Oryzias latipes: one gene and its partners. Each later gene encodes a partner of the first gene's protein in a complex. Links are inferred from orthologs where the notes say so. Each region holds a gene or a part of one and is shown in the gene's direction. Other genes may lie near its edges.

Evidence for each region. Proteins that work in one complex are often made in the same cells at the same time.
Region 2: the proteins of txnl4a (region 1) and pqbp1 are in contact, whole or in part, in a crystal structure (PDB 4BWQ), measured with the Homo sapiens proteins. The link is inferred for Oryzias latipes from reciprocal best matches to the Homo sapiens genes TXNL4A and PQBP1. Residues at the interface, in NP_006692.1 of Homo sapiens: Gly11, Trp12, Val14, Asp15, Ile18, Asp68, Phe69, Met72, Tyr73, Glu74, Met82, Phe84, Asn87, His89, Met91, Gly97, Asn98, Asn99, Asn100, Lys101, Leu129; in NP_001027553.1 of Homo sapiens: Gln241, Gln242, Arg243, Pro244, Tyr245, Pro246, Ser247, Pro248, Gly249, Val251, Leu252, Ala254, Asn255.
Region 3: txnl4a (region 1) and lsm8 share a complex: the UniProt entries of both Homo sapiens proteins name them as parts of the precatalytic spliceosome. The link is inferred for Oryzias latipes from reciprocal best matches to the Homo sapiens genes TXNL4A and LSM8.
Region 4: txnl4a (region 1) and snrnp40 share a complex: the UniProt entries of both Homo sapiens proteins name them as parts of the U4/U6-U5 tri-snRNP complex. The link is inferred for Oryzias latipes from reciprocal best matches to the Homo sapiens genes TXNL4A and SNRNP40.
Region 5: txnl4a (region 1) and aar2 share a complex: the UniProt entries of both Homo sapiens proteins name them as parts of the U5 snRNP complex. The link is inferred for Oryzias latipes from reciprocal best matches to the Homo sapiens genes TXNL4A and AAR2.

What each region holds. Positions count from the first base shown.
Region 1 is NC_019869.2:14,391,663-14,395,679, forward strand, and holds txnl4a (thioredoxin-like protein 4A), read left to right. Parts: upstream 1-1,217; 5' UTR 1,218-1,364; intron 1,365-1,557; 5' UTR 1,558-1,563; coding exon 1,564-1,716; intron 1,717-2,997; coding exon 2,998-3,101; intron 3,102-3,182; coding exon 3,183-3,354; 3' UTR 3,355-3,545; downstream 3,546-4,017. UniProt on the Homo sapiens protein: Plays a role in pre-mRNA splicing as component of the U5 snRNP and U4/U6-U5 tri-snRNP complexes that are involved in spliceosome assembly, and as component of the precatalytic spliceosome (spliceosome B complex).
Region 2 is NC_019865.2:21,319,562-21,323,505, reverse strand, and holds the start of pqbp1 (polyglutamine-binding protein 1), read left to right. Parts: upstream 1-1,144; 5' UTR 1,145-1,233; intron 1,234-2,218; coding exon 2,219-2,285; intron 2,286-2,365; coding exon 2,366-2,477; intron 2,478-2,601; coding exon 2,602-2,702; intron 2,703-3,944. Other genes in the region: timm17b (mitochondrial import inner membrane translocase subunit Tim17-B), read right to left, coding at 1,099-1,124. UniProt on the Homo sapiens protein: Intrinsically disordered protein that acts as a scaffold, and which is involved in different processes, such as pre-mRNA splicing, transcription regulation, innate immunity and neuron development.
Region 3 is NC_019881.2:23,243,759-23,247,806, reverse strand, and holds lsm8 (LSM8 homolog, U6 small nuclear RNA associated), read left to right. Parts: upstream 1-1,248; 5' UTR 1,249-1,450; coding exon 1,451-1,481; intron 1,482-2,534; coding exon 2,535-2,575; intron 2,576-2,664; coding exon 2,665-2,792; intron 2,793-3,510; coding exon 3,511-3,601; 3' UTR 3,602-3,948; downstream 3,949-4,048. UniProt on the Homo sapiens protein: Plays a role in pre-mRNA splicing as component of the U4/U6-U5 tri-snRNP complex that is involved in spliceosome assembly, and as component of the precatalytic spliceosome (spliceosome B complex).
Region 4 is NC_019869.2:21,982,921-21,987,195, reverse strand, and holds the start of snrnp40 (U5 small nuclear ribonucleoprotein 40 kDa protein), read left to right. Parts: upstream 1-1,475; 5' UTR 1,476-1,601; coding exon 1,602-1,712; intron 1,713-2,962; coding exon 2,963-3,092; intron 3,093-3,170; coding exon 3,171-3,264; intron 3,265-3,515; coding exon 3,516-3,681; intron 3,682-3,795; coding exon 3,796-3,918; intron 3,919-4,275. UniProt on the Homo sapiens protein: Required for pre-mRNA splicing as component of the activated spliceosome. Component of the U5 small nuclear ribonucleoprotein (snRNP) complex and the U4/U6-U5 tri-snRNP complex, building blocks of the spliceosome.
Region 5 is NC_019865.2:15,451,661-15,455,880, reverse strand, and holds the start of aar2 (protein AAR2 homolog), read left to right. Parts: upstream 1-1,420; 5' UTR 1,421-1,690; intron 1,691-2,247; 5' UTR 2,248-2,382; intron 2,383-2,617; 5' UTR 2,618-2,674; intron 2,675-3,004; 5' UTR 3,005-3,145; intron 3,146-3,242; 5' UTR 3,243-4,220. UniProt on the Homo sapiens protein: Component of the U5 snRNP complex that is required for spliceosome assembly and for pre-mRNA splicing.

The sequences.
Region 1 (4,017 bases):
AATGGTGAAAGGGGGTTTGAGCGCTATGTGACTGCTGAGAGACTTGACCAGACGGCTGATTTTGTGCAATATGAAAAACAGCCAAAACAAATTTAAAACAGTCTTTATCAGCTTTAAAGAGTGAATGCAGTGTTTGACGATAGTCCGGAAGCTGACTATCACTGTTGTTTGTAAAACAATCATGTGTCCTACATAAGATCGTGTAACATAGTTGGATTTTATGAATCATGTGTCCATTTAAAACCACAGAGATGTGACTGTGTAGCTTAAAGGGGAAATTAAAATGATGTATCTAATGATAATTGAACTCTCTTTAGGAGTGCCATAATGTGCTGCTATGTTAAAGACTGGAAAGTTTTCCTATAACCTTTGAACTGTGTTCGTTCTTTCTGTTTGTACTGTAATGAATTGCACAATAAATTTTTTATCTGTGTTTTTTCCTGCTTAAAACCGTTTCCTGTATCTCTGCCTACTTTCAAACGGAAGTAACACTCGTTTCAAGGAGCAACAAGAGAATAAAACATTGAAAATACAAAGGTAAATCATTATTGGGGGTTTTGATTTTACAAGTTATTTTTTTGCGTCAAAATCGTTTTTACTTACTGAATCTTAATGAACTATACTGTGCAGCTACTTGTCTTTTGAAAATTGTGCAAGCAGTAGTCCATAAACATTTGTTTTTCACTTGTGGTGCATGTACACATGCATCCCTAACAGGAAGCTATTATTTCTACCCATAAAAGGTTAGAGGAACAAGGGCATCCAAAAATTGATCATATGGGATGATTTTTCTTTTGGGGTTTTAATTACATTAAACGTGAAAATGCTTTGTCTATCAATTCTTCCTTGAAAATGTGGCAACGTAGAATAAATCTTATTCATCCTACAAAGAGGGGAAAAATGATCTACATAAAGAAATATATAAGGGGTGATGTTGTGTTAAGAAGTATACATTTTTCTACTTTCCTTTATCTTTCCGAATGTAGTGTTTCATTTTCTTGTTAAATTTGACATTTTAACCTAAATCTTTCTTTTAATAACTGGTTTCGCATAGCCTGCTTTCGATTTAAAGCCTTCCATGTAGTTTTTATTAAATTGTTCACTTTTGTCAACATCAGTTAAAGTAATACTAGATTTGTCATAAAATAGGACAAAAAGGAACAAAAAATAATACGTTTTCTCTGAATAGGTTTGTGGGATGTTGACGTAGACATTTTGCGACGACGTCGCGAGTTTGTGACGTTGTTAGGAACGAGCTCTAGATGCTGAAGATAGATTTTTTTTTCTTTATTGAGAGAACAAAGTAATTTTATCTAAGCAGAAATCTAATTTTATTTCATTATACTTAGTTTTGCTAATTCAAGGTAAGGTTCTTTCGTTCATGTTTGTGGTTCCGCATCTTCTAAAGTTTCGCTGTCATGATTTCTAGATTTTTCTTCAGCTAGCTTAGCATTAGCATTCATCAACCTCCTCTTCTCCGCGGTTATTTAACACTTTAAGATAACATTATCATTCAGAATTTTGGGTCGGGGGCGGTCTCGGATTCTCCATCTTTAGGTCAAGATGTCGTACATGCTACCGCATCTCCATAACGGCTGGCAGGTGGACCAGGCCATTCTGTCTGAGGAAGACCGAGTTCTGGTGATCCGCTTCGGACACGACTGGGACCCAACGTGTATGAAGATGGATGAAGTTCTTTATAGTATCGCTGAAAAGGTTTGATCAGCTTCTTATGTGCACCATAATTTCTATGGAAAAATAAAAGGGCTCGTCTGGTTACAGTATTAAAAGGGAAAATTATTTGCACCTTCCTTTGGTCCCCAAATCCCCCTGCTTTTGACTGTTAACAAGTTTGATAATAAATGCATAACATGAGAAAATATTCAATGGGTAAGGAAAGCTTAGCAGTTAGAGAAAACAGTTTGAATGTCTGCAGTCATCCTTTAAAGATTTCATTTAAGGATTTAACCCTCTTCTCTGGTTAGTTGCTGAAAGAAGGATCATACCTGAAGATTTAACTGAATCACAGGTTACAGTAAGACGACGGCAGTTTGTGACAAACCCCACTGCACCAACATACATAGGGTTTACAGAGAAATGGCGTTTTGGAGAAACATTCATACGAAAAACATCACCACAACAGCCAAAAAGCTCCAGATAAAACAGGAATTTCCTGATTCTTAATTGACGAATCGATTTCTTTTCCTATGAACCTACCAGATCCATCTGTCTGAGGCAAGTAGCTCATCAAATCAGCCTCTACCATTTTAAAATACTTTCAAAAGGAGATAAATCGATAATAGAATTGAAATTGGAAAATACAATTAGGATTGAGACATGGTAGGTTTATTTTACTGTAATGTAATAACGACCAATTGCATCACGGTGGACAACACACATGTGAGGTCAGCAAAAACTGATCAACCATCATAACAGTCCAATGTGTGGAAACAATATGAATTTAGCAAAGACGTGACCAGACAGTGTGGTAGAATGTTGTAATATTGTTCCCTTAGGATTCTTTGGATGTGGAAAAACAACAGTGGACTGAACTTTAGGAAACTAAAATGTGAATGGATTTGACTTTCATTCTGGTTTACTTGTTTGTTTGTACACATATTAATTTAAACTTGATTATCTTGAAGAAATATAAGGAATCTGGAAAACGTCACCTGTACTGTTCAGTATCCAGGTATTCATCTCTGAGTCACACTGGTTGAAGTTTTGGATAAAGATGTTCTGGATCGATCTTAGGCCAGAGAATCAGATCGTTCAAAATAAACAAATATCGATTATGAATCTGATCAGCAGCCACAAATTATGATATGAATTGAATCGTTAAAATGAAGTTTTAGTTTTTAATGTTCCTCTAAATCTTATTGACTGTTTTGGAGATTAATTTCTGTTCCTTAACCTTCATTAAAGTCACAGCTTTGGTTTCAGCAATCAAAGTCCAGATCCTTGTTGTTCTAGTAACCGCCACCTTTGTCTTCTCAGGTGAAGAACTTTGCAGTCATTTACCTGGTAGACATCACAGAAGTGCCCGACTTTAACAAGATGTACGAGTTGTACGATCCTTGCACCGTCATGTTCTTCTTCAGGTGAGGAACCCTCATCACTGGAACACAGGTCCTCATATCATATATGATGTCCAACGCTCCTGCCTTTGGTTTGTTTTCCAGGAACAAACACATCATGATTGACTTGGGAACTGGAAACAACAACAAGATCAACTGGCCCATGGAGGACAAACAGGAGATGATTGACATTGTAGAAACGGTGTATCGAGGAGCCAGAAAAGGACGGGGTCTGGTTGTTTCTCCCAAGGATTATTCTACTAAATACAGATACTGATTCTCACTTTTTTTAAACCATTTTTTACCCTTTTTGTGTATTTTTGTTTTGTTGATGACAAACAGAAGAAACTCTGCTTTTCCAGCAAAGGAGGACGATATTCCAGCTACTGGTCTCATTGTTTTCTCATCAGTTTTATTCAGTTTTGAAGCTTGTTTGAATTTTTGTGAATAAAAGTGTCAACAATCTTACGTTTGATTATTAAAATAAACTTGACTTTCATGTAAATATATTTAGGAAATTTTCTCAAATGTTTGAGTTTGTTTTGAAACTTTACAGCATTAAATCATTTTGCTATGGCAGTTAAAGACGTCACAGGAAGTGCAGTGACTCACAGCGGCTGTTGATACTTACTAGAGATTATGTCTAAATCAAATCAACTTCCAGTTTTGTTTTTTTGGGTGCACTTGCCAGAGTTGTCCGGTAGGTGGCATCATAGCAGTTCCACGTATGCACCAGTCTCCAGCATCACATGCAAATGCTCCTTCCTGCCGTGGCCTGGGGCAGTATTGGGACACGGCCCATCAAACAGACTTATGTGACACTTTTGTGTTGCTATAGAGATCATCTGTGGAACAAAGAACAGGAAATGACCTTAAAAGAACTTTATTTCATGATAGGACTTTTCCCCAAAAAACGGGGATCTTTGTGCTGTCAAACTAA
Region 2 (3,944 bases), on another chromosome or scaffold:
CAGATTTACTCTCTAAAGGCAAAATAATGGATCACAGATCCACAGTGTTTTCTTCTGACACAAGGGGAGTGAATTCTGACTTCCTTTAAGTTCAAAACTAGGAATAACCACAAAGCAGGAACAGATCAGAGAGAAACTGATTAGATCAGAACAGAGAAGAGCCAGAGGTGGCAGAGCTTGTAGCTGCGAGGGGGAAAAAAGGAGGCAGAAGGGAGCGGCGTGGGGCAGCAAGCAGACGGAGCGGCGTGGGGCAGCAAGCAGACGGAGCAGGAGCAGACCAAAAAGAGAAACAAATGATTCTGTCTCCATGTTTTTACTCTGATTGGTTTGTGTGTCTTCCTTTTGTAGACGGTGGGGGATCTTTCTGTTAATCCCTCCAAAAACTCTGAACTCAGAAGTAAATGGGTTAACCATAACAACTATCTAATATCTATAATCAGTTAAATTCAGAAGTGTTATTATCAATCTGGATTATCAATGACTCAATGACAAGCATGTCAGCATTTTGATGAGTTGGGGCAGCTTTAGAGGAGATCTGTGTGCCTGAAGCCCTAGAAGTGTCGACTTTACTGAATTCTAATAAACAATCATCCATCTATGAAATAGTAGACAATGTTAATGATTATTCTTTAAAATGTCTGAAAGTTGTTGAGAGATTTAAACTGCATTTAGGATTTATAGAATAAATGTAACTGTGATCTTAATTGCTATTAAATACCATTATATTCTGTGATATATAAAACATCCATTTCTGCACAAGGATATAAATTGGATGTTTCGGCTTGAAAAACAATAAACAAGCTTACTACCAATTAATTAAAAATGTCACAAAATATGTAACATTTGTTCGCAATATGTTTTAAGCTAATTTAAAGCACTAACAGTAAATGTTGTCGTTTTTCCATAAATTGTAGAAATAATATATTTTATAACCTGCGAAATGTTAGAATTCTAGTTGAAATTAGATTACTTCTCGGTGGTGGACGCGAAACTATTCAACCTGGTCAGGTTTCGTTCAACAAGAGGGCAAAATTGCATAAAAGCCAAAGGACAAACTAATATGTTTAGGTTTTATTCGACAAAAAAAGATAATCTCACCAAGGTTCACGCGCAAACTCCTCCATCTTTCGTGTCGTCTTTTAAGCGCAGTGACGTCATAATCAGGCGCCGGCTCATCGTTCGTTGTGGTGGTCTGTTGATTTTAACGATTGAAATAGTCGTTTTTAAGAACAGGTACAGACTTTCCCCCCTCTTTGTTATTTATATAAACGCTTACTTGGTTAATTGAGTTTCTTATTATAGTTAGGAACTTCAAAATGACGGGATTTTGATTTATTTTAACCGCAGCTGTGAGTTGAGTTCAGAAAAACGGGCCTGGATCATGTTTTCGTGCAGATTATTTTAGCTCTTGAAATATTGTTTCTTTGCTAATTATCGATATTTTAAAACTGACTGAGCTACACTAACCTCAATATTTAAAAGACAAAAAAAACTTAACGTTTGAGAGTTTTAATCAATCGCTCCATAGTAGAACCAGAACCATCGAAATAACTTTCAGAAAAGTCCTGTTTCATTTTTTGAGCTGCTTTGAAATTGAGACAGTTTTGTGTGTGTGTGTGTGCGCGCGCGTGCGTGCGTGTTTAAATTTCGCACCTTATCATAAAATTTTCCTCCAGAGAATTTGTTTAGAAACAGTGAAGAATGGATTTGTTTGCTTCAAATACCTTATCTATACAGGTGCTCTGAATGTACACATCTGTACATCTGGATTTGGTCATAGAACATGTTTAATTTCAGAATTTGGGGTAATGGGTGTCTCTTATGTTGTTGCTTTTATGGGTTAGTTTGAAACGAAACAGTTCTGCCAAATTAAAGCCAAATCAGTTATTTAATTAATTGATTTTTCTATAAAAGTAATATTTTGTATTTGTCAGGTTAAATAAAACATTTTCTTTGCTTTTAAAGCCAGAAGTTGAATTTTATTGATTTAAAGTTCAAGTTTTGCTTTATTTAAATCACTAGTTAGGCAAAAATGTTTGTGAACGAACATAATTAGTTTTGGAATGGAACCTTTATTTTTTTTTAAAAAGAATTTATATTTAATCAAAATTTCTGCAATCCTAACTCCTGTACACAATCGGTGAATTCGTATGTAATCAACTGAAGAATTTGTCAGCATTTGCATCATCATTTAATCCTAACTCCTCTGTGCTTGCAGATGCCTCTACCTCCAGCCCTGCTGGCCCGTTTGGCCAAGAGAGGAATAGTTAAACCTTCAGATCAAGGTAGTATTCTACATCCTCACAGAGCTTACTTTCTGCTTTTTTTCTGAGCTTAAAACGACTTTTTCTCCTCAACAAAACAGAGATAGAGGAGGAGATCATCGCTGAAGATTATGATGACAACAATGTTGACTATGAAGCCACTCGGTTAGAAAATCTTCCCCCAAATTGGTACAAAGTGTTTGACTCGACGTGGTACGTAGAAACGAAGTCGATCAGCTGCGCTGCTGTGTTTGAGTATGATCACTGCGTGTCATTGATCTACCATTGAAATGAAAAGCAATTGCAGCTAAAGTTATTTGTTTTCTTCATTTCCCAGCGGTCTTCCTTATTACTGGAACATTGAGTCCGATCTGGTTTCCTGGCTTTCCCCAAATGATCCGTCAGCGGTTATAATGAAAGCTGCCAAAAAAGCAAAAGGTAAGAATTTGGTAAAGTAGATGACTTTGCTCTGCTTTCATTAAAAATTGTTTTACAGAGTTCATAAAATGTCCAAAATATTGGATTTTTACTTTTTGACAAGGGTATGAGGAAACAAAAAAAGAACATGAAGAGCATGAATGTGTAATAAACTCTCATATAGCTAAAGTTTATCCATCTTTATATTCAAACTTTGTTTGTCATGCTACTCAGATAATGATTGTTTTCTAAAACCTCAAAGATGTGGATTTCCTTTTGATTTTTATATTATTTTTATATTATATATATTATATTTACCGTAAATTCCGGGTTATAAAGCGCACCCGATCACAAGCCGCACCCACCTATTTTAACGTGCTTAAATATTTTTGTACATACACAAGCTGCATCAGTATACAAGCCGCTGCCTCAACAAAGCGCATCCTGACTACCAGAGTGTGCATGGCTCATTACCACACTGTGGGCAGGTACTGGCCTTGTCTCAAGCTCATGTATCTAATTACACCCACATCTGAAACGGCATGGACCTCTATTCTGTTCACAAGTTCCTCAGTTATGGGTTTTTTTATTTTTTTTAACTTATTGACAAACTAGGTATCATACATAAAATTACAAACAGTAACCATATAATCAACATTACATCCCTCAGTTATGATGAGGAAATTTATATCCGCGATCCCCCATTTCCCATGAGTCTTAGGGGCTAAAGGCGGGGCCAACGCCCGGCTCGCCACACTGTTGTTCGTGTTTAAGAATGAGCAAGGAGCAGCAGTGCATGGAGGGGTGAAAAGGAACAGCTCTCCTTCCACTTGTGTCGCGGCAGCGTTATGGTACTAACGGGGCTGGTTAAAAAACATCAGTAAAATAGCGCGCGCCTCAGCGCGGCGCGTTCGTCAGAAGCTTCCTCTCACAACAAACACTTGTTGCTCCGCGGACGCCTCTGCGCTCCGCGCTCGCCAAGCAGGCTCCTTGTCTCCCCTTCCTATCCGAAAAGCTCACACGGCGGCTGTGAGCTTTTCAATGCAAAATTCCGCTCAGTCAGAAACCGTAAAAACGACCAAATGGATTTGTGTTTCCAGTCGTGTCCCGACAAAATAAAGGCTGATGTTATTCACACATATTTACGTGCAGCCAGCCGAGTCACTATGACTCAGAGGTAAATACACTTCTGAGCATGCGCTGTTCTCTCCGTCACGCAGCTGACCGGCATTTCCATTTACTGATGGGGGATTTTTTCACGCT
Region 3 (4,048 bases), on another chromosome or scaffold:
GTCAGAGTCGTTTTCATGTAGCTTCACCAACCAAACTGTATGTTTGTTTTCTTTAAAGGAACAAGGATGTTGTAAAGTATTTTTGTACAAATTTAATACTTTGGTAGCATGAGGTTCCTGGTGTTTGTCCCAGTCCCGTCAGCCTTCATTCACCCCCCACCTCCCACCCCACCTTCTGTTTTTTTAATACTGAGCAACAATAAAGTGAGACGGGAGGCTGTGACTCCACATGTGGTCTAACATTAGCACATGCATTCAAACGTGTCTGTTTGGGTTTCCTGTCATGTATATAATGTTTCACATTAAACTGAACTAAAGTTTTACATTTGTAAAAATCTCTGAGTCAAAATCTTCTTCAGGAAATCTTAATTTCTCTCTTGATCATCCGAGGTCGTCCAGGACGCAGAACAGATGATCAGGTGAGGTTCTTCAACCGGCCTGGTCTGAATGTTAAAATGGAGATACGTCTCCATTTATATCCCATCATCCCTTTGTTTACGCTCTCTCCCACTAGCTTACAGCCCCTCACAACCCCAACTTAACTTTACTAGTGTAACCGTACAGCAAGCAGTATCAGAGCTTGCCATCCATCCAGGTCTGATCCAGATTCCAGTTCAGACCAGGAGAACGACGACGTTCATGGATCTGGTGGATGATCAGAAAGGGGCGGAGCAGGAAGGCTGTGGCCCCGCCCATCTTTGTTGCTGCGTAACAACTGGGAGTTTTTTTCAAATGGCATTTTTTTTGCTACTGATTTACGATTTTAATAAAGAAGTACTTAGAAACGCAGTTTTATCTTAAATAATTTTATATATGCTCTCCATTACGAGAAAAATGCTACAAGAACATGTTAAAAACATCACATCAGAGTGGGTCTTTAAGGAGAAACTGAAAACTAGGCTAGAATTAGTTTTGGATCCTAAACCGTTAAGAGAAACGTGAAACCGGATAATGACCACATCTAATGATTGGTTCTGATGATGCTGGAATGTGTGAAGTATTTGTTACAAAAATAAATTTTAAGAAAAACAGCCTGAAAAGTTCAGATTGGAGCTGTCATTTCATTTAATTGTATGATTATTTGTTTAATTAAGTTCTTTAAACAAACACTTTTTAAAGCAGATTTTAATAATGTGTGAATGTGTGAGGATGGAAATTAAAAGTAAAGAACAGCTCAAAAACAATTTCTCCAAACTCCGTCCCAGGTGGTGACACTAATGCGCCAGCAGGGTGTTTGCTAACCGCCAAAAGAAAACACAGAAGAAGAAGGAGGACATGCGCATGCGCGCTTTGACGCCTCAGCTCTATGAATCTGTGTGAGATTAGCTGAGCCTGGCTGTTGTTAGCTGCCGCCGTTAGCCTGTGCGGTGTTTTTGCGGGTTCTCTTAGCCTGTTTCAAACGCAAGTCTTCCCGCCAGCTGGATAAATAAAAAAGGAGCTCCGGACAAACATGTCCACCGCGCTGGAGAGCTACATCAACCGTATCCTTCCGCTGCTGCTAGCGGCTAACAGGCTAACCGCCGTTTAAATGAATGGAGGGCTAACTGCTAGCTTAGCGCGCTAACGAAAACTCGTGTTTTGTTAAATATAAAGAGTGTAATTTAAATGTCTATTTAGTAGGCTTAACTAAATTCATCTTTAGATTTCAAACACTGTTTATTTTGTGCTTTTGTTCGGGTATCGTGCAAAAATAAGAATTTGTAGCCTTTTGGGTTATTTTCAGCAGAAAGTTTAAACCAGATTATTTTTCTTATCGTTTCCTGATTATTATTCATCGATCATTGGAGAACCGGGTTTGTCAGTAGAAGTAAAGAATAAATAATTAGGAGAAATGCTCTTTTATATTTCCTTAGATTATTCCTAGAGATTAAAGAGATTTGCATGAATCTCTTTAGTTCTGGAGGAGGATCTCCTCACAGGAACCAAAACATTCTGAGAACTTCATGATGAATATCAGGAATTCTACTTCTAAACCGCTTTTATTTTCCCAGAGTTCATCTTTTTGAAAACATGCTGCTGGTTTCCCCGCGTGTCTTCAGTGAAACTGAATCTTATCTTACAGATTCGTGCTAATTTCTCCTACATCCCATAATTAAATTCGTATTTAAATCAGCTGCAGAGAAGTTTGTTTTGCTGAAAAGCAAACCACAAAAAAACAGTAAAAAGTAACATCACACTGACTCAGTTTAATCAACTCCAATAAAAATTGTGTTTCTGATTTCAATTAGGCAGCAGTGGATGCAGTTTATTCTCAGCAACAGAAAAGCAGCTGTGAAGGTTTTTGTTCTTTGAGGCTGAATCTGTACAGCATGTTGTCTTTTCCACCAACCAGAAGTCGGGGCGGGGCTTCGGTCACCTGGGCTCAGTTTTTTCTTAAACTTTTTCTCTGCTGGTATCTGGAGTCCAGGGGACTTTGGATCCGACACTTCGCTCTGAACTCAGAGGAAAAGCTGCTGTAGAGATTTTTGAGCTTCCTAGAAGCTGTGAGGTGATGATGTGTTCTGGATGAGTTTCTTTGACCGATGCTGGCTCAGGTACGGTGGCCATCGTCACTTCAGACGGCAGGATGATCGTGGTGAGTTCAAATGCTCCTCCTGTCCTCGGCTGGATCCGCTCTTTTCGGTTGGAGCCCAGCCTCATTTTCTCATTTCTGATTCTCTTCAGGGAACTCTGAAAGGCTTCGATCAGACCATCAACCTCATCCTGGATGAGAGTCACGAGCGCGTCTTCAGCTCCAGTCAGGGCGTGGAGCAGGTGGTGCTGGGACTCTACATCGTCAGAGGAGACAACGTGTGAGTCTGAGACCGCCGGTCCTCCCATCAGAACACAGAGAAACAGGAAACAGTTGAAGACAGTTGAAAGGACATTTGATCTGAAAACAGCAGGTAAAAGCAGCTCAGCAGCAGAGTAGAGCGTCTACCTTCAGCCCGTGGGTTCGAGTCCACAGGTCGACAGAATCCTCCCCCTCCAGGGGCAAAGAGCCGCTCTGATGAAAATGCTCTTCTTCTTGTAGAGGTTTTCTGATGATGGAGGTCATAGATTCAGATCATTGAGATCAATTTCTGAGTTTTTCTTTAATCAAATTGTTGTGAATCAGGAGCAGACGAAAAAAATGCTGATGGGAAAAAATTACATTTATAGCGTAGAAAATACTCTGGGCGGGGCCACAGTCTCCCTGCCCCGCCCCTTTCTGATCATCCACCTGCAGACCAACAGATCCATGAACGTCTGTTCTCCTGGTCTGAGCTGGAATCTGGATCAGAACTGGACGGGTGGACCTGATGTTGCTGCTGTTTTTGTTGTTCCATTAATGTTAAGATGGGGGGGTGAGGGGCTGTAAGCTAGCAGGAGAGAGTGTAAACACATGGATGATGGGAAATGAAGATGGGCTCACTCTGCACTGCGAACCATCTGAAAATAGATCAGAAGCTGGTGGGAGTGGGACTTTAGCCCCCCAGCGGGCTCTAAAGGTCATTCTGACGGCGTGGCGATTCTTTTTTTCCTCATCAGAGCGGTGATCGGTGAGATCGACGAAGAGACCGACTCCACGCTGGACTTGGGGAACATCCGAGCCGAGCCGCTCAACTCTGTGGTTCACTGAGCTCACCGTCTCCACGGCAACAGTGGACTCAGGGGGAGGGGTCTGCTGCAGCGGGAGCCGTGGAGATGAAGATCTGAGGGTGATCAGAGTCTTCCTCCTCCAACAGACTGTTCTGATGTTTCCACGTTTGTATTTTTATAAAGGAGGTTTGAGTCACGGTCTTCATCTCCAACAGAGAAAAGTTGAATAACGTTGGATTTGATTCTTTTCATTTTGCTTTAAGGTGAAACCAAGACTCAAAAAAAGACTTGAGTTTGTTTTAAAGCACAAAGTTCTGCTTTTCTTCAGCTCCATGTTCTCGTCTTTCAGGGAAGAACAAATAAATGTGTGAAAATGTTTTCCTTTTAGAGCTTCTGTTCTGAAAACTTTATTAGCTATTTTTTTTAAACAGACGTTTATTTTATTTAGATATTTGCTTTGCTTTATTTGTGATCATGGAAACTTGAA
Region 4 (4,275 bases), about 7.6 Mb from region 1:
TGGCAGATTGTCAAGTGAATTTCTTTAAAAAAAAGTGTACACTCAAGTGGAGCAGAGAAAGTAAAAATTCTATTTTAGTGAGTTTTCTCCTATTCAAAATCTTACAGCCTGTTTATCACTCCCTTAATTTGAGCTGAGCTCGCCACACAAATGTCAAATCTCTTATGCTCATCCTAGATTTTTTTTGCTCAAACTACTCTAGTTTTGAGATTTTGGTACCCACAAGTGAGGAGGTGCTCTGCCACAGTCATAAGTACCTGTTTAGAATCGGTATGTGCCAACTTTATACCAGTACTGTTTCCCAAAACCAAGTAGTTGCATTGTCTGGTACAAGCTGAAGCTGGTATACAAACTGGAGACCAGGTTTTTTATGTAACTAGAGATGATAACAGTAAAGTGAGTTTTCAGAGAAAACCCCTGGATGTTTCCTCAATCAGTCAGCACTAAGGTGGCATACATTGCCTTGTACAGATCTGCGGTCAGGGCTGCACTGTGACAAAGTGGTTAGCGCTTTACTCTAAATCTGTGCATGCGTGGGTTTTCTCCAGGAGATCCGGCTTCCTCCCACCATCCAAAAACATGCGAGTGGCCGGGTAAGGCTCTGACAGCCCCATGACCCCGAAAGGGACAAAACGGGTTTACAAAATGGATAGATTTGCCATCAGTGTTTATGCCCAGACAATTCAGAGAGCAGAGACCTTGAGGTGAAAACTTGCAATCCCTTTATCTTCGTGGTTTCCGACCAAACTCTTCCCTTTAAGACAACTTACTGCCTCTCTTAGATTTCTACATAATTTGGGAGAGGAAATGAAACAGCAATCTTCTTTCATCCAATTCACCAAACGAAAGTCATAAAAGAAAATGAATTAATTTCAAAGGTAATGTGGTTGACAGAAAGAGTTCGGTAAATTTTTAACCTCTGCTGTGCTGTTCACTTCTTGCAAATAAAGAATGACCTTGTGCCTTTTGGGATATTTATTTGTACAAATATGTGGTTGAAAATGAAAATTGTCATTCGTGTCATTTTAAACTACGATGAAGCCAACCTGTCGCAATAAAGCATTAACTTCCCGGTACCAAAGAAATATAATTACTAATTTTATTTATGTAAAAATTAGCTCAAAGTTGTTGTTTTTTAATAATCGAGCGAACAAAAAATCTAAGTTGACAACAAGACAAGTCAGCAATGAATTTGGTTAGCTTATAATTTCGTCCTCTTACGGTTTGTACCGTCAGTTCAAAGACAAAAGCTCAGACATGAACAGTATAGGCGTTTGTCGTGGTAGAACGATAAGGAAAATCACGCAAAAAGTATCTTAAGTCTTGAAAAAAGGATGAAAATATTACCTTTCGTGTGGTTAGCTGAACTCAGATTGTTGTACTTCCGGTGCATTGTCGCTGACAACGTCTTCATCAGCCAATCACAGCAGGAGATGGATGTTTAAACCAATCACACAGCTCATACTCACCGGAAACACTTCATCCTGATTTCTTCGTTGGTGCTACGCTTTTCTCGTTTCCCATGAAGGCGCAAATAGTCATTCGGTAAACCGTAGTCACAAACAAACTTATTTTTGTCGATTATTTGCAATTATTTCGGGATGATTGAACCAAAGAAAAGAGCGGGAGACATGGCGGTAATTCCCACCGCTGTGAAGCGAGCCCGGAACGAGCTGGTGGCGGCGGCACAGTCCCAGCAACTCGTGGCTACGGTACGAAAAGAATCAACGTTCACACAAAAAAACTCAAATTAGAGAAAATATATACACACGGGTGTTGACCCGCATTTGTATTATGCATGCTTTAAATGATGTAATCTAAAATTTACTCAAACACGACATTTTTTGTGGTGCACCTATTATTTCTTGACGTAGAGAACACATGACAACGAATAACAACACGAGTTTTCGCTAGGATATTTAATTTTTGGATGTAATGTTGCTTCTTTAAAATACGTATTATATTCGAAATCCCGTTGTTATCAACAAACTGATGGTAAAGGAACCTTTCCCAGTTATGGGTGTTTCCGGGGTGAACCGTGAACAGGTTACAAATCCTAGGCTAATGTTATGATAGAAAATTAAAAAATGTTATTTTTTTTATTAAGCATGAGTTTTGTGTATTTAAACCTTTTCCAGTTTGTAGATGTTTTTCTGTAAGTAGATATTTTGATTATTGAGACAAAACTATAGGATATTTAACAGGATAGATACTAAATCTTTTTTTTCTATTGTAAAAAATAAATAGCTTTTAAACACTGGGGTTTCATTTTAGCAATCATCTTTTGATGTTGCAAAAATCTGCATGACATATCACCTGCAACAGTCACATTCACAGTCACCCATGCACACACACATTCACACACTGATGGCGGTTTCGCTCTCTTACTGGCGCCAAACTATAACCACCAGAAGCAATGTGGGGTTCAGTGTCCTGCCCAAGGACATTTCCACACATGGGTGGGCAAGGCGGGAACCTAACCTGCGATATTCATGATCAGGTGGACCGCTCTGCCTCTGCACCACAAGCCCCTGCATGGAAAGTGTGCCACCATAGGGTGCAGAGGCAGAGCGGTCCACCTGATCACAAATATCGCAGGTTAGGTTCCCGCCTTGCCCACCCATTTGTGGAACCTAACCTGCGATATTTGTGATCAGGTGGACCGCTCTGCCTCTGCACCACAAGCCCCTGCATGGAAAGTGTGCCACCATAGGGTGGCAAGATCCTTTGTGTCACATGATCAATTTGATCCTTTACAAATGATCCATTTCCTCACTGGTCTGCTGCAGATTTGCATTAAACTTTGTGGACTTTACTCTGAAGCGTTCTGTGGCACATTAAGCCCAAACGCACTTTTATTTATCTGTCTTTTATCACATGCCTGTTTTCTTTTTAGATTTCACTTGGACTAAATCTGGAAGAAAAAAACAGAAAGTAAATTAAACTGACCTTTCTCCTCCAGGGTCCTCCTCGGACCTCCAGCCTGCAAGCTCCCATCATGCTGATGTCGGGCCACGAGGGCGAGGTGTACTGCTGCAAATTTCATCCAAATGGAGCCACGCTGGCGTCTTCTGGCTTCGACCGACTCATATGTAAGCAAAAAGAGGCAAGCTGCCGTTCTCCCGGCCTTCTTCTGTTGCTTTGTTCCTCACTTACTTCCTTTACCTCAGTTCTGTGGAACGTTTTTGGGGAGTGTGAAAATTACGCCACCCTGAAGGGCCACAGTGGAGCTGTGATGGAGCTGCATTACAACACAGATGGCAGGTAGGAAGAAAGCTGTAGATTTTATCTTTAAACTTCACCTTTAAATTGACATTTTTCTTGTTTTAGGTTATGTTTACAGTGAAAGTAAAGCTCATATTCTCATTGTTTCTTAGTCTTAGTTTGATTTCAAAAACTAAGGAACTTTATGGAACAAAAAAAATGTTCATCTGTAAATTTTAGGACTTGGAACTATCTACATTTCTTAAATAACCTTTCCATAAAATTTGACTGGATCATTTTTGTGCCTCCAGCTTGTTATTTTCGGCAAGCACAGACAAGACCGTGGGCATTTGGGACAGTGAAACAGGGGAGAGGATTAAGCGCCTGAAAGGTCACACTTCCTTTGTTAACACCTGCTACCCAGCTCGCCGGGGGCCACAACTGGTCTGCACCGGCAGCGATGATGGGACGATAAAGGTGTGACATTTTTATTTTAGGTGCAGTTATTTATTCTGAATGCTTCAACTGTTGAGGTCCCATTCAAAGTTTTTAAATGTTGCTTTATTGTATTTTTGTTAATCGTCACTGCAGTTGTGGGACATCCGTAAAAAGGCGGCAATTCACACCTTCCAGAACACCTACCAAGTTTTGGCCGTGACGTTTAATGACACCAGCGACCAAATCCTGTCTGGAGGCATCGACAATGACATCAAGGTATTTGGATTGTTCTAAAAAAAACAACAACCAGCAGAGTGTCCTTGGTTTTGTTTTGTAAGATTAACAGGAAGTCTGAAATCTCAGCTGCTACGTGGCTCTACTGTAGATGGCAAGAAAAAAGTTTGACATTTTATAAAAACTCAGTGTTTAAGGTAAAAACTTTCTGACATTTTGAAAGAAAAAAGAAATCAGTGATTTAGTTGTTTTCAATCCGTTTTAAATAACACATTTTATTAGTCTGCCATAAAGCTTAAATCAACGTTTTATCATGTGTTTGCCTTCATTTAAATGCACCAAATAATCTGATTCTACTTAGATAAAGACTAACATGTGAAAAAAAAAATTTCGGTTTCA
Region 5 (4,220 bases), on another chromosome or scaffold:
TGGTGATTCTTCTGTGATATTTTTGATTCTTGTGAAATTTCAGTTTTGACCGGAGCATCTCAAACTTCTGCTAACATGAGGCATCATGCTAGAAATAATGTATTTTTTTTTCTCTTTTCTACGCCGCACCCGGTATAATCCCACTCCCCAAAAATAAACACAAATTGTTTCATTTGTCTCTCTTTAGTTCTAATTTTGACCTGAATGCTCCTATATTTCTTATTAGCATGAAGCCATGAAGGTTCAAAGAGCTTAGAAGTATCTTTGAACTTATGGATCACCAAGGATTAAGTAAATAAACAGAAATATGAATTCATTTTTTAGACTTTGTTTCTGTTATAATCAGTGAGACCAACTTTTTCCTCTGACAATGACACCCCTTTGTATTGTTCAGGGAGTCTAGATAGAGTTAGCTCAGACCTTCTTTTTTGTTGAGGTTCATGTCTGTTCTTAAAGTTTCTGGCCAGAAATTAGCGCATGCATTCCCGTCCCCCTGTGCAAAAGACCCAATCCTGCTTTGCCCTGCAATTTGAAAGAAATCTGTAAAACTTTACGCAATAGAGTGTGCAAAATGACAATGTAAAAACTCCATGTTTGGTTTGTTCAACTTTTAATTTTTGTGTCTTTACTCCCAAACAAACAATGCAGACCTTCTGAAGTGAATGTTTGGTTGAGGGGAATTCTGACTCCAAACTCAGTGAGACAGACGATGATCTGCAAATGATGTTTTCAAAGTAAGGCTAAACATAGCAGCTACAATATTCAAGAGAAGTCTCTTCATGCATCTAGAAAAAGTTTTTTTTAAACTTTTGAGTCTCAATTCAGCAGTAATTATCTGGTGAGATCTTAAATTACACTAATATCTCATTTAGATTTCATGAATAAAATTTGCATTTGTTCCACAGGATTAGACAGTTCTCAAAGTTTCTGTCATTAAATGACAAAAAAATATTTCTCAAACTGAATTAAATGCTGATTCTTGTATTTTTACATCAATGCAGCTGAAATATAACTTTCTTTCTATAAAAGTGTTTTTCAGATGTCAGAATAAAATGTGAGAATATGGGAGAACAAAAACTTTCATTGTAGGAAATGTTCTGCTGGACCAGTTCAGTTACCCCCACCACCCCCACCCCCGCAGTCGGTTCCCATAGTTGTTTATTGTTATAAAATGTGGTTTCTCATTTTTTTTGTCTAAATCACAAATAAAGGGTTTCTTTATTTTATCATTCAACCATAAACTAGACCTCTAAACTTTTATTCATTAATACCATTATTATTAGAAAGTAACGCTAGTTGATGAGAAGAAAAGCTTCTCTTTTAGTGTCCTATCTTCCAAACGAAACCGAAAGCACAAAGGCAGATGATTGATTGCAGGAGTTTCCTCGACCTGAACCGACTGGAATTTGATGAAATCCTAAACCCAGCGTCAGTAGTCCATGACGGGGAGGAAATTGAGCAGCAGCAGCAGCAGCCTGGGTGATGCTGGAAAGACGCAGCGCTGCGTCGGCTGTGACTGACCCCGCTGCAGCTCTGACCTCTGCACCTGAGAAAGTGTGCAGTGCAGACAGTACCGAGAGGAAGCAGAAGGATAATGAGAGCAGCTGGAGCGTTAATTCCACGAACCTGCAAGTCACTGTCAGACATAGGTTTGCTCGTCTGAGGATCCTGCTGAAGAGCATAATAAATGGTAAGCGCACTGGTGCGTAATTACGCACGCACAGTGACAAAGTGAGTTGTTTTAGTGCTTTGATGCCAAAGCAGAGATTGAGAATTAAACCTGAGACTCGGACTTGAGTCTCACTTCAGTTTCAAAGGCAGGGATTTAAGACTTGAAAGCCTATTTAAGACTGAAACCTTAACTTCAAGAGCATCAGACTAGACTTTGAGGACTTGAGAACATTCTTAGTTTATTTTTAGTTTTACCTTAAAAAAAAAAAACAGATTGAGGTCTAATATTTTTGTGCTGTATGTGTCACTATTAGGTGGTTTAAAATACTGTAATGACATTAGTGAGAATCACACATTTTTAAAAATAATTTCCAACATTTTGGATTTGACTTGTAACCAAAGACTTAAAACCAGACTATGACTTGGGAAAAGTGGATTTCAGAGCATTTTAATGCCAAAGTCTGTGCACTTTGTCTTTCTGTCATGTGATACAAAGATGCCCAGGAGCCGAGTGATTTTATTCAGTCTTCACTGGGCTGCATTTAAGGTACTTCCACACCTCTTTCTTTTATGCAGTGTCTGACCGGAACTCTACTCCACAGTGTCCTGGTGGTTCTCTTGTTGGCCAACTCATCTGGTAAAAGTAAATGTAACTACAAAGACATACTGGGCTTCTACAGAGAAGTCATCTTCGTTGAGCTGCAGAATCTGGTATGACGACCAAACTGACCGCAAAATAAGAATTTCAATGTTTGTTTATATTCAACAGCCTTTTACCTACAGCTGACACTAAGAAAAGTGTTGGAATATATGGTTAGAGACTGCCCTCCAGTGTTTGTTTTGCAACACACACACAAAGAAAAGCCTCAAAACGAATTTTCCCACACTTTGAATGAGATGAAACTGGATTTCTAAAATAATATTTTTGATGACTAATGTTTTTCAGAATTTGACTGTTTCTCACAACTCATCCAAAGGGAGAGATCCCTGCCCCTCTGCAAAGGTGAGCATCAATGCTATAGGTACATTAGATGTAGTTTGGTGGCTGTAAAACGGAAATCACACACACAACAAATGCAGTAAACGTAGTAACAAAAATGGAAACAAATTACAGAAAACTGTTAAAATAGAACATTTAAAAATATTTTGCTTTAAAAAAAAAAAAACAATATTAAAAGTAAAAACAAAAAAACAAAAAAGGAGATTTCTTTAACCCTGATGTGACATATTTGTTTAGTTTGGCAAGTTTTGTCTACCCAAATACTTGCATTGTTTGTTATCAAGGTCTTTAAATGCTGTCTGTTTTCTCCTTTTTCCTGCCATCTCATGGCAGGCACATCGCATCCTTGTGTCCATATACATTAACACACAGCAGGTCCTCTGTTTGAAGAGCGGCAAGAAGCTGTCTGACCTGAAAAAGCCAATAGAAAACATGGAGCAGCTCATCGTTCAAAACTGCAGTCCTAATTATATGGTGAGAAAAAGTACCGATGCAGATCTTTGAAGTATGCAAAAAAACTTAAAAATCTGAACTAATTTATCTTTTTTTTCTTTTTTTCTTTTACTTCTAGGGAAAGAAAAACCCCTGTTCATCTGCCCAAAAAATACAAGGGAGAAAAGGCAAGAGATTTAGGGTGATCAAAACCATAAAGGCATTGATTAGATGTTGGGAAAAACTCAAAAGTGTCGTACCCTCTGATAAATAGTATGACTTTGGTCCCTAGGACCCGTGCTACTCTATGCACTCAAATTTCCAGATGGTTCTTCCAATCTGGTCAAGATAGACTTTGTAAAAAAAAAAACGGCTTCCTCTTTTATTGGAATGCTCAAGTTGTTTTATTCCTCCTTTTTTTAACAGTTGTCGAGATCTCCGAGTTTTGTGATTAAAAAAACGCCATCCACTGCATGTCAGCATTCCTCTTTGCAATATGAATTGTTTCCTAATAAGCCAAGATAAGCTAAAAAGTATTCACTCACCATTCAGATGTTCTCCAGTAAAATATGCACATTTTCATTCTTTGTAGCATGTTTTTTTTGAATGACATATTGACATTATACATATTTCCTGTCTTTTTTACTGTAATTTCATTTAATAAAATACTGAATATTTATTAATACTTTTATTAGAGAGGAAATTGTTGGTTTTGTTGTTTTTTATAAAAGGAAATCTTAAAGAGTGGAACTGTTCTTAAAAAGAATGTTTCCGACGGAACAAATAAGGTGTTACGCAGCGTCCGCCAGTGTTTACAGCCGAGAGTCCGCGAAGCGAATTCGCCACGAATCTGAACATTATCGTAAAGTAGCTTTTGTTCTTTGCATGTTAGTAAAAAAAAAAGTGCGAAGGGCAGTTCTTAGTCAGAATTATACTCTTTTCATTGTTTGTTTTCGTAACATTTACAGCGACGCAGAAATGCGTTTTTGTTCCTTAACAACACTCCCCTGAAGCAGCTTCTTCACTAGTCTGTGACTGTCTGTGGGACGTTCTGGGTAATCCTTTCCAATATTCAGGACACTTGTATTTTATTTTAGGAGGTTATTTGTGACACAAA